Linked DNA regions of Coturnix japonica. The protein of the gene in region 1 purifies or fractionates together with the protein of each later gene. This does not show direct contact. Links are inferred from orthologs where the notes say so. Each region holds a gene or a part of one and is shown in the gene's direction. Other genes may lie near its edges.

The links. The genes of interacting proteins can lie anywhere in the genome.
Region 2: the proteins of HTT (region 1) and CREBBP purify together in Homo sapiens (affinity purification with western blotting; 5 studies listed by BioGRID and IntAct, with this or other methods). This does not show direct contact. The link is inferred for Coturnix japonica from reciprocal best matches to the Homo sapiens genes HTT and CREBBP.

Annotation. Positions count from the first base shown.
Region 1 is NC_029519.1:74,630,080-74,634,096, reverse strand, and holds the start of HTT (huntingtin), read left to right. Parts: upstream 1-1,217; 5' UTR 1,218-1,417; coding exon 1,418-1,518; intron 1,519-4,017.
Region 2 is NC_029529.1:11,019,037-11,022,536, reverse strand, and holds part of CREBBP (CREB-binding protein), read left to right. Parts: coding exon 1-57; intron 58-1,305; coding exon 1,306-1,383; intron 1,384-1,813; coding exon 1,814-1,881; intron 1,882-3,111; coding exon 3,112-3,262; intron 3,263-3,500. UniProt on the Homo sapiens protein: Acetylates histones, giving a specific tag for transcriptional activation. Mediates acetylation of histone H3 at 'Lys-18' and 'Lys-27' (H3K18ac and H3K27ac, respectively).

The DNA of each region.
Region 1 (4,017 bases):
TTCTCTTTATACGGTACATGGAGATGAGGAAGTTGTGCTATATAATTTAAAGTGACTAATATTACTAGCTTGGAGATTTCACTTGGAGAAGTGTGCAAAGGGTAAGGAGATGAAAGCAAAGCACTGTGGTATGAGAAACATAATATGAATTTTGTTCATGATTTTTCATAGGATGCAGATGAGAGATGGCAGCAGGTTGTATTTACTGCTGATGTAGACTTTTATTTCGATGAAGCTATAATTAGAAATAGAGTTTCCTGTTCAGAATGCCTTCATTTCACCTCTGTGAATTCAGATCCTAGCTCTGTTACATGATTTTAATAGCAGCGAGACAATCCAGCAGCCCAACTGCTTTGTTCTGTTGGTGTGAGATACAGGAAGATCTATCAGTTCTGTGGAGCTGTTTCAATGAGATCAATCCTTCTTTGTGGCTTTTGTTTCCAAACATTTGTTTCTGTAAGTCTTAATGTCTGCTTGTGTGTACCTCATGAATCCACATACAGGTAACTTTCCTCATGCTCCACATACGTCCAAACCACCACAGTTCCTTCCATTTATAGCCATGTTGACTGTTAAATGTGTTAGCTCCAGAACCACTCGAGTTAATTGTTGTATGAGCTGTTTTCCTGGATGTTCTACCATTGTTACTCTTGAAATAAAAGCAGAACACTGCCACATCTCTCAAACACACCTATTATTGTCTTATGTGCTTTGTTTAGCAGCTCTTTCACGGTAGCCGGGGTAGGTAAAGTTGTCATGAAAACAATTAAAATTACAAGTTGTTGAAATAGAAATGATTGCTGATTCTGTTGTCTCAGCAGCTATAGGTACATTAAAGCAGAGGTTGTACTTCAATCCATTATTTTTAGTTAAAAAAAGATCTTAATACTTGAATTCCGCTGTCTCTGAGAGAAGCAGCCTTTAAATAGGTATGTTTTATATGTGCTTTAAGAGGGCAAAAGCAGGTCCAGCATCACGAGGCTGATGCTGAGCGGCCAGCGGGTCCCCTGCCAAGCACTAAGTGCTGGTTCCTGTAAGTGTTTCCCCTTTTTCCTCACAGCCCAAAATAACGCCTTAGTGCCGGTAGCGCTTGGCATCAGCTCAGCGCGATAAGGGCTGTGAGGGGATGGATGGATGGAGGCTGAGGCGCCCTTAGTGCCGCCAGCGGGCGCCCAACCCGTGCTGGGCGGAGCAACCCAGGCAGGAGCGCGGGGGCTGCTGGGCCAACCCCAAGATGGCGGCGGGGCAGCGGGGCGGAGATCGCGGCCCCGAACGGCGGCTCCCCGGCTCGGCTCGGCTGTGAGGCGCCAGGCGGCCTGTGAGGAGGGTGTGAGGGGGAGAGGAGGGACAGGCGGAGAGTCGGGAGCGGGAGGAAGGACGAGGGCGCTCGCCTGTGAGAGGGCGGGCCGGAGCGGCGATGGCCACCATGGAGAAGCTGATGAAGGCCTTCGAGTCGCTGCGATCCTTCCAGCAGCAGCAGGTGCCGGCCGTCATCCCCGAGGAGCCGACGCTGAGACCGTGAGTGAGCGGAGCGGGACGTGGGGTTGTGGCAGCGGGCGGACGAGTCCGGAGGTGCCGCCTGTGTTTGTGGCTGTTGAGGTGGCTGCAGGTCTCTGGGTGAAGGTTTGTAAACGCTGCAGCCTTGTGAACTTAAGCCTTGTTTGACTCAACATGAGCCAGCAGTGCGCTCTGGCAGCCAGGAAAGCAAATGGGATCCTGGGCTCCATGAGGAGAGGGGTGGTCAGCAGGGATAGGGAGGTGATTGTCCCTCTCTACTCGGCTCTTGTGAGGCCCCATCTGTTGTACTGTGTCCAGGTGTGGAGCCCTCAGTACAAAAAAGACATGGAGATTTTGGAAAGGGTCCAGAGGAGGGACAGGAAGATGATCAGGGGGCTGGAGCACCTCCCCTATGAGGACAGGCTGAGGGAGTTGGGTTTGTTCAGCCTGGAGAAGGTTGCGGGGTGACCTCATTGCAGCCTTTCAATACCTGAAGGGAACTTACTCCCAGGAGGGGAGTAAACTCTTCGAAAAGGCTGATAATAGCAGGACACGGGGAAATGGTTTGAAGTTAAAAGAAGGAAGATTTAGGTTGGATGTTAGGGGGAAGTTCTTCACTAGGAGAGTGGTTAGGCCCTGGAACAGGCTGCCCAGGGAGGTTGTGGATGCCCCGTCCTTGGAGGTGTTCAAGGCCAGGTTGGACGGGGCCCTGGGCAACCTGATGTAGTAAAGGTGTATGTTTGGTGGCCCTGCCAGGCAGGGGGGTTGGAACTACATGATCCTTGAGGTCCCTTCCAACCCGGGTCATTCTGTGATTCTGTGAAAAGATCTTAAGTTTAGCTTAAAATCTAGGATTTGTCTGTCTTTAAGGAATGGATGTAGATAACTGCTTATGGCAGGCTTTGCTTGAAGTCTTGCGTTGTCACGTGTTTTGAGCTCCAAGAGGAAATAACACAAATGTTTCTGCTATCTCTTTGTGTCCTTAGATATTAGGGTTGGAGGCACTGAAAAGATGTTTGTTCCTATCTGCGCAATGCTCTGGTTTCAAGTCAGGGAACCTGCAGCTTTGCTGGAGGCCAAGGAGCTGTTCAGTGCCCCAGTGCTGCCTGTCGGCTTTGCTTTCTCTAAAAATAACTTTTATTGAGCAGGTGAAAAGGCACTAAGGACTTTAGTGCACTCGGTAAGTGAGTCACACTGTTGCTGTTTCTCCAGACACGAGGGAGACAGGAGGAACACAAGGGCTGAGGAGCAGGTAGCTTCAAAATTGACAGTTTCAGGTGCTTTTGGCAGAGCTGATCCACAATGGAAGCTGGGCTCTTGGCCACCTGCTCCCACAGTACGGTTTGAGACAGATGCCAGCTGGATTTGCCACGGTTCATACTGCTTGGACACTCTCACCTCAAACACTTTCATTGTGTCATTGATACTCTTGGGGACACAACAGATGAAAAACCTTATTTTCTTCATAAGCCAATTGTTTTCATATACCTCAGTGTTTACAGGGACTAATTGCTCTTTTATTTTTTGATTGTACTATGATTTTGCATGGCATGGAGAATAGGTGGACGTCTATTTCCAGTCTTTACTGTGCATAGCAGAAGAAAATCTAAGCAGATATTGCTAGGATAGATCATCTTATTTGAAAAGAAAGGCTTGAAAATAATTTGTGATGCTTGCAGGGGGATGTTATGGTTGATTTGGGGGTTTGCATTTAGTCATACCAGAATCAAAGCGCTAAAAAATCAAGCTTGTAATTGTCCTAGTTGACTTTGTTTTTTCCTGTTTAAAAATAGACTGGTTGTTTTCAGAAAGCTGATAGTATTGCATGCCCCCAGGAGCTTTACCAATTCAGAAAGGGCACTGAGCTCCATAAAAGCCTATGAAACGATATTGTGCCAATCTTCGTTGGAGTTTCCTGAATTGTTAGTGAAATACCAGGTGACATCTTGAGCTGAACTCCTGGTGTTGGTTGTGTTTTCCATCCGATGGGTTAGAAAAGAGAAATGCCTTCTTGTGTTCTTTGCACATAGGGACCAGCGTTCATCTTAATTGTGATCCTGCACAGATAACCCTTAAATATTTAGCAGTGCTGTATGCTAACAAACTACTCTCTCCTGATGTGTAATATTTTAAGATCACGGAGGCTGGAGCTTAGAGATGGGAATTGTTTGCACAAATGTCATCGTGACAATGAATTTTGAGATCTTGATAAAATAATATCCTGGTTTTACATTTATTATTAAGGTATTGATTGAATTCAAACATTGGTAATGTGAGGGTTCTTTTCTCTCCTTTCCTCAAGGTTTTAATCAGCAGTAATCACTTATTGTGGTTTTAGTGTGTGTTACAGGCATGTCAGGTTATGGCCTCCTCTCTTTCTGTGGTTGGTTTGGCCTTCTATGAATGCTCAGATTGAGCTCTCTGTCATCATTTTGCTTCTACAAGCTTCTGCTGAGGCACCTTCTTGTCTTCCATCTCTGTTTTTTTGCTTTTTTGGACTCCTGAATTTTGGTTGGAGTT
Region 2 (3,500 bases), on another chromosome or scaffold:
AACCATCTCTAAAGATCAGTTTGAGAAGAAGAAGAACGACACGCTCGATCCTGAGCCGTAAGTAACCAGGCCATTTGTGCTGTTAGGGTCACTCACAGCTTTCACTTGTGCTCTAACCAGCACTTCAGAAGTGAGAGAAGGAATCGAGATCTCTTCCTTTTTCTCCCACCTCTGCCCATGCAGGCAGTGAAGCCTTGCTCTGGAGTTCATAGCACCACGTGTGATCTTGGTGTCTGCCGATGGTACCAGGATCTGTTTCAGTTGCCATTCCTCTTTATGTCAGGCTGAAATAGAAGTCTTAACATTTGAGTGCTGTGCTCTTCCCCTCATTATTTGGGTATTTACAAGTATCCAAAAGGAAGGAGGTCAGAAATATGGGTACATATCTAGCAAAAGGGATTAATTTGTTTCAGCCTTTGATTTAAGAGGGTTGTTTTGTTCCTTAGTTTAGAATAATTGTTAGTACCCTACAAATAAAGAGCAAATTCACCTGAGCACTTGGCCACCGAAAGGGGCATCGTTCTCATGAGGTTGTTGGGAAAGTCACGTGGGCTGTTCCTGTAGCAGCAGTGTTACGCTTCCTGCTGTCCCTAAGTGGCTGCAGCAGGCCTTAATCTTATGCTCGTTTGTTCTCTGGCAGCGTGATCCTCTTTTCTCATACAGGTATTAGGCAGAGCTGCTCTGCCTTTTACAGGCAGGCTGCTGAGTTCACCATTGCGGTGGGGTCCATAAACATTGTGGCAGCCCAGGCAAAAGAGAAGTTTATTTTGGAGTATCATAAAAAAATAAGTAAAATCAGAGAACTCCAGTGCAGACCCATGCAGGCAAAGGCGTGTTAATACGTGTCCTCTTGGCATGGTTAGTCATGAACGACTTGCTTTTATGTCTGCAGTGAGTTGAGCAACCATTTTGTCAGCCTGTGGTTGGTGCAGTAACCAACAAACTAAGTCTGTAAAGGTGTTGAGTTCTGCGAAGCTGGGAAAAGTCAAAGCTCTGGTTGGAGTAAGATGGGATCATAGATAGGATCATAGAATCACCAGGGTTGGAAAAGACCTCAGAGATCATCCAGTCCAACCATTCAGCCATCACCACTATATCCCACTAAACCACGTCCTGCAGCACAACATCCAAACATTTATTGAACACCACAAAAAGGGAACTCAGGAGTTCACATCTGACACTTGTAGCTACTAAACATATGATGAAGAGCAGCAGAAGGTCGGGCTGTTGTTCGTTTTTCTGCTGAATTCTGGAAAATTACCTGCCTAGCAACAAAAGTGACGGGCTGTTCCTTTCCCTTCTCAGGTTTGTTGACTGCAAAGAGTGCGGTCGGAAGATGCACCAGATCTGTGTATTACATTATGATATTATTTGGCCTTCAGGGTAAGATGTTTGTTCGCTTTCTAAGCCTCATATGTTAAAAGTGATGTTGTTTCCATAATTAAGATTTTCTGTGTTTGCTTTTTAATACACATCACTGTCTTTTAATCGCTGAGTATGAACAAAGTATTTGTGAAGTTTTGCATCTCTGGTCTCATTTCAGTAGTTTCAGATTGAAAAAGTACATGAAACAAACCTGTTACATACTCAGATTTCTCATGAACAATGGGAGCTGATTGACAATAAATGCAGATGTAGCTTTGACAGACTTAAAGCAGCTCAGGAGGGTTTAAAGTCCCCCAAATGGAAAGGCCAAATCCAGAGAAAAACACCTTGTATGTTGATGGTTACAATGATGGGTTTGCACTTGGAGTTGGGTGTAGCCAGAATTAGACTTGTCAAGTTTTTGGCACTTGTATTTTGTTCTCTCCAGGTTTGTTTGTGATAATTGTCTGAAGAAAACTGGTAGAACACGTAAAGAAAACAAATTCAGCGCTAAAAGTAAGTCTGGTGTTTCTATTTCTGTGTTTGGTTTTCATTCTCTCTGCCAAAGGATTTCTTCCTTTGTATGTATTTGTCATATATTGGCTTTCTAATTGATGCTGCTGTCATGATAGATAGTACAGGAGTATTTGCAAAATGGGGAATAGCGTCACCTGAGGCTTTGCTGGCTGTCAGTATTTTAAAGACCTGATCCTTATGTAGTCAGCCTTAATGCTGCTCGAGGCCTTTGGCATCTCTTTGCCTACTTTTCTATGACAAAAAGAAAGCAAAAGAAACAAGAAGAGGAAGAGGGTAAAAAGGGGCACCAGCCCTATGATCATCTTAGTGGCCTGCTCTGGACCCGCTCCAAGAGCTCAGGAAGGATAATGGGGTGCAGTGGGGGATATGGCTCACACAGCATTATCAGGTTACCGTAATCAAAGCCGTCTCTGGGGTAACCTGCCATGTGAAATAGTATTGTTGAAAAGATGAAACTTACTCTCGTTCAAGACAGATGAAGGTTGTAAGAGAATGTTAATGAAATAAAGAAATAAAAATGTCATTGCAGGTAATCATTGTGAATAGCTGCCTTTCCTTTGATACGCTGACTTCACAGTGTATTGATTTAGAATCTTACAGGTGTGCAGTTTTTCTGTGACAGAGCTTGAAAATGTCTGAGTAACCAACATGTAGCATAAGGTAGTTTTGTTCTTGGGGCATCTGGACTGTTGCTCACCCAGTAACAAACGTTCTCCATTGCTCCCAGGCTGCCTGGAAGCCTGATATGCTGGTGTTGGTGTGGAGACCTGTATCAGATTTGAGCTACAGTTTGAATTGGGTGCTGAGCTTTCATGGGAAGTGTATGTTAAATGGGCCTGAGATGTAAAATCCATATGGTGGTGTCATCTCTGCCCAGCAGCCGGGTCGTGGTGTTGGTAGGAGAAAACATTTGCAGTGTCTGTAAAATAAGCCCAAGAATCTAAAAATGCAACATGAAGCTGCCTTTGGTTGGTGCCCTTCCTGAGTAATCTGCCCTCTGCTGTGCTTTTGGTTTGCATGGGAGGGTATGAATACAAAGCAGCCCATTTGGGCTATAGGAATAAAAACATGATTGTTTTTGTGTGGAGGTAAAGCCAAGGAGGAAAGCAGTGTGAGACACCTTACAGACATGGTGTGTTGTAGTGGGCTGACCCTGAGCTTCACAGCAATTAACGTGTGTGCTGCTGTCTTCTCCCTCTTCAATTCCAGGGCTGCAGACCACGCGCTTAGGAAACCATTTGGAAGACAGAGTGAACAAGTTTCTGAGGCGACAGAATCATCCTGAAGCTGGGGAGGTCTTTGTCAGAGTGGTAGCAAGTTCAGATAAGACAGTAGAAGTTAAACCAGGGATGAAATCCAGGTTGGTTTATTAATTACACTGAATGATGTCTGCAGTGTTCATTATGAGGTTTTCCTGCGTAAATATGGCAAAACTGTGGCACTTTGCACCTTAATCCCTTTGTGCTTCTTTGGGGGTGCTGCATGAGCAGGCAGCTTGTTGGAGGTAAGGAAAAGCAGTTTGCAGCAGGTGAACCTGGAGGAGGCTGGCAGTTGTGAACTGTTTGTTGGGCATGGAGGGGTGTGCTGGGTTTGGTTGT